Saccharomyces cerevisiae S288C: one gene and its partners. The gene in region 1 interacts genetically with each later gene. Each region holds a gene or a part of one and is shown in the gene's direction. Other genes may lie near its edges.

Region 1 (3,148 bases):
CATAGGTGGCCGCAAACTAGGATAATTGACAACTTAGTTTCATATTGACAATGTCATCGCAATTGAGGAGATAGCCATAATTCGGGAGGGTACAAAACCTGACCTGCTAGTGTTCAACTAATGCATCATGGGTACTATAGAGAGCATTCTAGTGGTAGAAAAAAAAAAAAAAACAAACTTTAAACCGGGTAATATAAACTTCTCATATGGCTTTTCTCCAGGGAAAGAAAGGGAAGGGATACTTCAATGACGAAGGCTTAGATGACAAGCTAATACAGAAAGGGAAAGGAGCAGGGCATCGGAAGGAAATGTTGCATTTGGAAGATGACAATGGACGACAAAGGTCAGTGATAGCGAATTTGCAGAAATTCGTTTATTGCTGCCTGTACTTGAGGTTTATCAAAGATGGATCATTATTCTTGATCCTCCTGGGGTGGATAATTTCATCGCTCTGTGATTTCATTCAGGAATTGACACTCAGGTACCTGAAGAAGAACTATTTAGAGGTGGGCCGCGACAATGATCAGGAAGATGATGAAAGTCTTGCCATCAGAGGGTTAGAAACACCTATTGTAAGAATGATAATAAACAAAGCCATACGATATTACCAAGGCCTAATACTTCTAGAAACAGCGTACTGTATAGTATACCACATTAGGCTAGACGTATCGAGAGACATATGTTCCAAACCGTACGGATTTGTGATAATGCTTTTGATAAGGGAATTTACTTGTCCGGTACCCACAGCGTTTCCTAGCAAGCTACTTCTGGTACTACTCGATATTTTATTACTTTTCTGCCAGATTGTAATAATAAACGGCTCACTGAGCTCGAGTCTTCAGAACGTGAAACTTATTGTCAAGGAGTTGAATGCAGAAGAAGAGGGCGCACTCAACATTCTCAAACTTAATACCTGGCACATGGATGCAACCGGACCGGAACTCATAGTACTCAAGAATCATGACAAGTCGATTCCTCAACAGGCAGACGGGGATGACGCTACAGAGATCACTCCTCTACTGAATATCGCCGAATAAATTCAAGAAAGGAAAAGAAAAAAAATTACCAAAATGAAAAGAACGGAAAAAAAAGATGAACAGAAAATAAAACAATACGTGGTTCTTCTACTGTCCTTCCCACATCGCCGACAGAGAAAAGACAAGCAAAAAGATGGGCAAGAAAGCACACGGAGGAAAGATGAAACCTGAGATCGACGAAAATGGTACTCTGCTAGTACCGCCACCAAGGACGATTGCGAACCAGGACCATTTCCATAGATTAAACTACCTCTACCAAATATCCGCTTACCAAACAAGAGCAAGACAGAAAGCAAGAACAGACGCACATACGCCTTTGGCACGCAATTATATCAAATCAATGGACCTAATTAGTAAGAAAACCAAGACATCACTGCTTCCTACGATAAAGAGAACAATTTGTAAAAAATGCCATCGGTTGTTATGGACCCCAAAAAAACTGGAAATCACATCCGACGGAGCGCTTTCGGTAATGTGTGGGTGCGGTACCGTTAAACGTTTTAATATTGGCGCCGATCCTAATTACAGGACCTACTCGGAGCGGGAGGGTAATCTACTAAATTCTTAGGGTTATTGGTAGGGTTTTGGACCAATGTTTTGAGCAGGACAAAAATGCGGAGTTTCCAGATTTTCTTTAAGAGCCGACCCCCCACCCCCTTGCCCCTATACATGGGGTACGTGCCTGTATTTTGAGGGAAAACTACGACATAAAACACAGGGAAAAAAACGAGACGCCCGTTTGAAGAAGGTAATGTAGGATTCCGTCTTGCCAGCATAGCGGATAAACACCGCAAGGAGGTGTTGTGGTCGGTAATGAGTGGCACGAGGTGTTTGCTAGGCGTCGGACTACCAGTTGATGTGACTGCTACGGAAACTTTGACTCATGATGAACAAGGACCAGGTGTAGAGCCAGGACCGTGTTCGCGAGGAAGTTCTATAGATGGTCTGCTGCCCTCGTTGCTCGGTCCACATGATGATGTGGATGACGATTCGGCGGCTTTTCACAAGTACATGACACTATCGCGAGATGGCGCAGGCGCCATCCATGCTCCGTCATTAGTCGAAGACGCCTCAAGGAACGACGACGACGACGATGATGAAGACGACGACGACAGTTCCATGTCGCGAGACCTATCCAAGGCTCTAGATATGTCATCGTCATCATCGTCCAGCCCGCGCGTTCAAAGTCGGCGGCACCGTAGTTCTGTGAGCGCAATATCTGCAATCTTACACCAAGGAAAATCTGGCCGCGAAGACATAACTGGAAGCCTTAGCGTTCCGGCAGAACAAGAAAAACTCAGTTTTCTTGCCAAAGCCTCGAGTATTTTCTTTCGAAGGAACAGTATGCCCAGAGACAAACATACGCATTCAGTATGTCCCGCTAGCCGCCCAGATTCCGAGAGATTTATCGTCACATCTGCAGCCGCGCAGTCTTTACGCCGCCAACAACAACTGGAAGACGCTCAGTACGCTCGAGTTATTACAAACTTTCGTACTATAGGATGGTGCTCTCCCAGCGAGATAGAGTCTGTGGAATATAAACGGTCCTTGATCAATGCGGAGTGGGACGAAAAGATCTCGCTTTTGTCTCACGCGCAATGCTATAAATAATAAATATACATATATATATATTTATATGTAGATAGATGTGTGTATATATATGCTAGGTAAAGAAACGGAAAAATCGAAAAATCGAAGTTGGAGAGGAAAAACAAGACATCAGGCCCGCACGTTTCGCGGGCTACCTGCCCATGTTCCGTCTCTTAATGTCATTCAACAATTTCAAAGACTTAATCTCGTTAATGTCATTGAGCTTTGCTTTCCAAAACTCATTTTCCTTGTTCAATTGCTCTATACGATCGCGAAGTTTGTTGATTTGCGTGTTTAAGTTCTGCAGCTTATTCATGTTCTCAAAATTCTTTTGTTTCTTGCGAATGCGGAACCGCTGCGACGCCTCTGTGTTCTTTCTTCTCCGCTCTTGCTTAATCTTATCCAGTTCGTTAGAAGTGCTCACGGGAGCTTCCTCTTCTTTTACAACAACTGCTGTTGTTGCGGCAACCTTCCCCTTTCTCGGCTCGCGGAGCTTCTTAAACTGCGAGACATCCTGGCCA
Region 2 (2,830 bases), on another chromosome or scaffold:
TGGAATAAAATGTGGGATACCACTCTCTTACTGTTATCATACCTGCCAAAAAACATGTCATTTACCAGGAAATTGCCAAAAGGTGTGTAAACAGACCTGTGGGCAAAAAAGGCTCAATTGTAATCATGAATGTCCTAAACCGTGCCATGGTAAGACAGAGTGTCCCGATTTACCTTGTGCCACGCTAGTGAAAATTTATTGTAAATGTGGAAGGATCAAAAAAAGTGTTACTTGTGGCGCAAAAAGTGATAGAGTAAGTGTAACTGAATCTTCCGTGCTGGATTGCAATGAAGAATGTGAAGCTTTGAAACGACTAAAGGAATTGAAGGAGGCATTTGGAATTAAGGAAGAAACCAATAATTTTACAAGTAATGAACTAGATGCGTTAAAAAAACTGGTCTCTGTTGCTACAACATTTGAAGAACTGCAGTTACCGTTTACAGAGGCAGCATTATCAGTATATTCAAAGCAAGAAAGATGGTGTTCACAAATTGAAGCTATTCTTAATAAATTAATGGACGATAAAACACGTTCAAGCTTGCATTTCAAACCTATGAGGCCTCCTCAACGCCACTTCATCCGTGAACTAGCCAAAGCTTACGGCCTATATTCCGAGTCTCAGGACAGAGAGCCCATGAGATCTGTATTTATTAAGAAAGAAGATAATGGCGCAAGCAATAAACCAGTCTTATCATTAGCAGAAGCTTACCCACTATATGAATCATTTAAACAATTGCAGAAGGAAAGGAAAGCACAAGAATTTCAAGCTCGCACCACAGCTAAACTAATCAACTTCGAGGTTCAAGATACGGAACCTAAAGTAGAGGTGGCTAAGAAAAATGGTTTTTTGGTTCAAAATTTGGTTGCTGGAAATACTGCCGAAGATCTAAGGAGATTTTTTGAACCACATCTCAAGCATACGTTAGTAGTGAATCCTCAATACCTAATCCTTGATGATGGCAAAACAGCACTAGTGTATCCTGAAAATTACGAAACAGCATCCGTGAATACCGAACGTGACATGGAGCTTTTGGTTGGACACTTCGATTTTATGGCCAAAGAGGCATTTTTGGCCGATTCCATTTCGTTGTGTTCAACTGAAGAAGAACTTGAAAGAAGGTTGGATACGCCCGTAATTCAAGAGGATAGTCCTGTAATGGATAATAATACATGAACTATAATAGCGTGTCATTATTTATTACGCGGAATTCTAATTAAATAGAAATATCTAACTTTTATTTTTTTTCATCCTATCTCATTTCTTGTTTCTCCCTGTCGTTGCTAAAATACGAGGATCTGCATATGTTTACATATCAACGTTCCCGTAAACGAATGGAGAATACTGAGTGTCACGTTAATAATACGGATATTATAATTTGGAAACCTAGTCAAGTAAAACCAGAAGAGATTTTTCTTTTCTCTTAAGCTTTTTTGGCTTGACCAAACGAAAAGTCCCTCACACCCAAACACTGAAAGTAATTCTTCGTATTTAAATAATTCAAAAGTTATGATGAGCAGGCTCTATGTAAAAAAATGGCCCATAATTTTCCCTAGAACGTTATAAAAACGCGACTAGTGAGGTATTGAGTATGGAGAGTATATTTGGTGGGTTTGGAGATCTAGTTGTTCCTAGGCCAAAGGAGCATCTCGGTCAAACAGACCTTTCCTTCGGTGGAAAATTATTGCCTGCATTGAAAATTTGTGAAGATGGCGGTGAAAGTGGTTGTGGCGGTAAAGTCTGGATCGCTGGCGAACTGTTGTGCGAGTACATACTCGAGAAATCAGTTGACCATCTGCTAAGTAAGACGGTCAATGGTACGAAACAATTTAAAAAAGTCTTAGAATTGGGTAGTGGTACAGGTTTAGTTGGATTGTGCGTGGGGTTGTTGGAAAAAAACACATTCCACGATGGCACTAAAGTATATGTTACGGACATTGACAAGTTGATACCACTATTGAAAAGAAATATAGAACTGGACGAAGTTCAGTATGAAGTTCTTGCGAGGGAACTTTGGTGGGGTGAGCCGCTGTCGGCAGATTTCTCACCTCAAGAAGGTGCTATGCAAGCAAATAACGTTGATCTAGTTTTGGCAGCTGATTGTGTGTATCTCGAGGAAGCTTTTCCATTACTAGAAAAAACACTACTTGATCTCACTCACTGCATAAACCCACCTGTAATCTTGATGGCTTACAAGAAGAGAAGAAAAGCTGATAAACATTTTTTCAACAAGATTAAAAGAAATTTTGACGTTCTTGAAATTACAGATTTTAGTAAATTTGAACATTATCTTAAGGAAAGAACCCACTTGTTTCAGCTTATCAGGAAGTAACCTGACACAGTGAATTTATCTCTTAATGATCCTGATCTTATTATATTTAGTAATGAACTTTTCGATAGACATTTGTAATTCATGAAAAAACGATATAACATTCATTTTTGTAGTGTGGTGTACGCATGGTGGGACTGCTCTTCTTGAGCGAAATTTTGATCTTCAATAGAGTGAGCAACGACAACTCAAGGATAAAGACAGAACAGCGGTAAACATCGTTTGCAAAATAACTAGAGAGCCGGATCGATTTACTTTGCAAAGTTGCGTCCTTTTTCCACGACAGAATATGTCTGCATTATTTAATTTTCGTTCTCTTCTGCAAGTGATATTGTTACTGATTTGTTCATGTTCTTATGTTCATGGGCAGTGGCCGTCTCTCCTAGATCGTTACAAAAATCATGAGGTTTTGGGGGCCTTCTGGAAAATGGCACGTGTTGGTGAAAGGGCCAGTCCATATGTTAGTTTAGCATGTATTTTGATGGCCATCAGTCAATTTAACA
Region 3 (3,090 bases), on another chromosome or scaffold:
GTGCCCACAATGAACCACACTCAGGGTACACATCTTGTGCGCTGTCTACCTTAGCTTTACTCTCTAGTTTGGAAAAGCTATCAGACAAGTTTAAAGAAGACACCATAACCTGGCTATTACATAGGCAAGTATCAAGCCATGGATGTATGAAATTTGAAAGCGAATTGAATGCCAGCTATGATCAATCTGATGATGGCGGTTTCCAGGGAAGGGAGAACAAGTTCGCTGATACGTGTTACGCATTTTGGTGCTTAAATTCACTACACTTACTAACAAAGGATTGGAAAATGCTATGCCAAACTGAACTAGTCACAAATTATTTGCTTGATCGAACGCAAAAAACATTAACTGGAGGCTTTAGTAAAAATGACGAAGAAGATGCTGATTTATATCACAGCTGTCTAGGGAGCGCTGCGTTAGCATTAATTGAGGGGAAATTTAATGGAGAATTATGCATACCTCAAGAAATATTTAATGATTTTAGTAAAAGGTGCTGTTTTTGAAGTTCAAACAGTAATAAGAGTCTATCGATTACATAAATGTGAGCAAGCGAAAAAAAAAAATTGGCATTATAAACCATCATTTTCGATGAAATAATCAATCAACGTAGATAAGCTGATATTATATAATTTTGGTCTGTTCGTGTTGATTTTATCACTGATGGACTTTGGCATACAGATAGTGACAATTTCGTTATTGAACCATTGAGAATGGAAAATCAATGGAACTTCATCCAGAGTTATGCACATAGAAGCTCCCTCAGCCGGAAAAAAGCTGATAGCGCCAAAATCTATTAGTGACAAGTCTGTGTTAAGGCCAGTTCCAGTAAATTTTGTATACGACTCCTTCAAGGACCATAAGTAAGTAAATATTGTGCATGGATCAGACGCTTTCAGTAAACCGTTAAATTCTCTTTCACTAAAAACTTCTTTAAATAGCTCCAACTCTTCCCTCCCGCCATAATTGCACGGAGAAGCGATATCAATTCCGACATCCTGGTATTCATCTGTACTTACACATTTTACGAGGAACATAGCTACATATTGTTCACCGATGGTCATGCTAAATGGAAGAAAACGATTGTTGTCTAAGAATGGCTTACCGAAGCTGCCCTTGTCAAATTTCAGCTCTTGAAAATTTAAGCCCGTTACTATAGAGCAGCCAAACAACTGCAGCAGCTGGCTGCATAGATTTGAACATCTATCGTGAAACGATTTTTTATTGAGGATTCTGGCTTGAGACGCCAATGGCAAAGTTCTCATTAATGCCTCGAACGTAAACTCATCCGCGAGTATATCCTCTTGAATTTCAACAACGAATATACCTGCCCATGGTCTTACACCTGCCACCTTTGAAACTTCGCTTACTACTTCAGTCGTTTTAACCATCCACGGTTTTTTTGCTGAGTGATTCTCTTTCTCCTCATTCTCATTTTAGTCATAGCGGTTTTAATAAGCGCCCGAAAGATAATTGTAAAACATATATTCAATGCTTAAAAATATAAGAAATTGCCCATCAATTTGAAAACTCAAGTAAAACAGAGAAGTTGTAAGGTGAATAAGGAATGAGTGACGTGGTCAGTAAAGATCGTAAGGCATTGTTCGACTCAGCAGTATCCTTTTTAAAGGATGAGTCCATTAAAGATGCTCCACTTTTAAAGAAAATCGAATTTTTAAAATCCAAAGGGTTAACAGAAAAGGAGATTGAAATAGCCATGAAAGAGCCCAAGAAAGACGGTATCGTAGGCGATGAAGTATCGAAAAAAATTGGTAGTACTGAGAATAGAGCCTCACAGGATATGTATCTCTATGAAGCGATGCCACCAACGCTGCCCCACAGGGATTGGAAGGACTATTTTGTGATGGCTACTGCCACAGCTGGGCTGTTGTATGGTGCATATGAAGTAACTAGAAGGTATGTGATACCAAATATTTTACCAGAAGCAAAAAGCAAGTTGGAAGGGGACAAAAAAGAAATTGATGATCAGTTCTCCAAAATCGATACAGTCCTCAATGCCATCGAAGCGGAGCAAGCTGAGTTTAGGAAAAAGGAAAGCGAAACATTAAAGGAACTTAGTGACACGATTGCTGAACTGAAACAGGCGCTTGTGCAGACAACAAGAAGCAGGGAAAAGATCGAAGACGAGTTTAGAATAGTTAAACTCGAGGTGGTCAATATGCAAAATACGATCGACAAATTTGTTTCAGATAATGACGGCATGCAAGAGTTAAATAATATCCAAAAAGAAATGGAATCTCTGAAAAGCTTAATGAATAACCGTATGGAATCCGGTAATGCGCAGGACAACAGATTATTTTCCATATCTCCTAATGGTATACCTGGCATAGATACGATTCCATCTGCGTCTGAGATTCTTGCCAAAATGGGCATGCAAGAAGAAAGTGATAAAGAAAAGGAAAACGGCAGCGATGCTAATAAAGATGACAATGCTGTTCCAGCGTGGAAAAAAGCAAGAGAACAAACTATTGATAGCAACGCCTCCATTCCAGAATGGCAAAAAAATACCGCCGCCAATGAGATCAGTGTCCCTGACTGGCAAAATGGACAGGTCGAAGACTCCATCCCATAGCGCAATTCTATGTAAGTAATTAGTTTTTTAACGGAAATTGTAATTGTAACTGTCCTAGATACTATGGACATTCAATCTGATTGTTACCCGGAACATTTGCTTTTGAAAGGCATTTTTAGTAGCACTAATATATTGGCAGCTAATTGAAACAGTAATCTACAAATATGAGTAAGCTAAACCACCTCAACAAAGCTATTCGTGGCTAGTATATGACCTTGAATTGCCATGGAAAAAGAATCAGTATACAACTTAGCACTAAAATGTGCTGAGCGGCAATTGACCTCCATGGAATTTTCGAACCTTTACAAGGAATTCTTTAATGAAAAGTTCCCGTCTTTGATTCAAGAGGAAGAAGAAGATACAACAACAACTGCAAATATAAATGAGGTCAAGAAAGCGTCCGATTTGGTGGATACACCCAGCAACAACACGGCTGCTACTGCAGATACTACACACTTACACGAGGCTCTAGATATTGTTTGCTCCGATTTTGTTAAAAT

What was found. Genes that interact genetically often act in the same process or in processes that back each other up.
Region 2: mutations in YIR016W (region 1) and EFM6 together harm fitness more than expected from each alone (negative genetic interaction), as found in Saccharomyces cerevisiae (2 studies listed by BioGRID).
Region 3: mutations in YIR016W (region 1) and PEX14 together harm fitness more than expected from each alone (negative genetic interaction), as found in Saccharomyces cerevisiae (2 studies listed by BioGRID).

Annotation. Positions count from the first base shown.
Region 1 is NC_001141.2:380,778-383,925, forward strand, and holds YIR016W (uncharacterized protein), read left to right. Parts: upstream 1-1,850; coding exon 1,851-2,648; downstream 2,649-3,148. Other genes in the region: VLD1 (Vld1p), read left to right, coding at 309-1,037; ribonuclease P protein subunit RPR2, read left to right, coding at 1,171-1,605; MET28 (Met28p), read right to left, coding at 2,779-3,148.
Region 2 is NC_001146.8:586,607-589,436, reverse strand, and holds EFM6 (putative protein-lysine N-methyltransferase), read left to right. Parts: upstream 1-1,589; coding exon 1,590-2,330; downstream 2,331-2,830. Other genes in the region: FAP1 (Fap1p), read left to right, coding at 1-1,174; KSH1 (Ksh1p), read left to right, coding at 2,617-2,830. UniProt on the Saccharomyces cerevisiae protein: S-adenosyl-L-methionine-dependent protein-lysine N-methyltransferase that methylates elongation factor 1-alpha (TEF1 and TEF2) at 'Lys-390'.
Region 3 is NC_001139.9:214,709-217,798, forward strand, and holds PEX14 (Pex14p), read left to right. Parts: upstream 1-1,564; coding exon 1,565-2,590; downstream 2,591-3,090. Other genes in the region: protein geranylgeranyltransferase type I subunit CDC43, read left to right, coding at 1-503; LYS5 (holo-[acyl-carrier-protein] synthase), read right to left, coding at 570-1,388; NUT1 (Nut1p), read left to right, coding at 2,816-3,090. UniProt on the Saccharomyces cerevisiae protein: Component of the PEX13-PEX14 docking complex, a translocon channel that specifically mediates the import of peroxisomal cargo proteins bound to PEX5 or PEX21 receptors.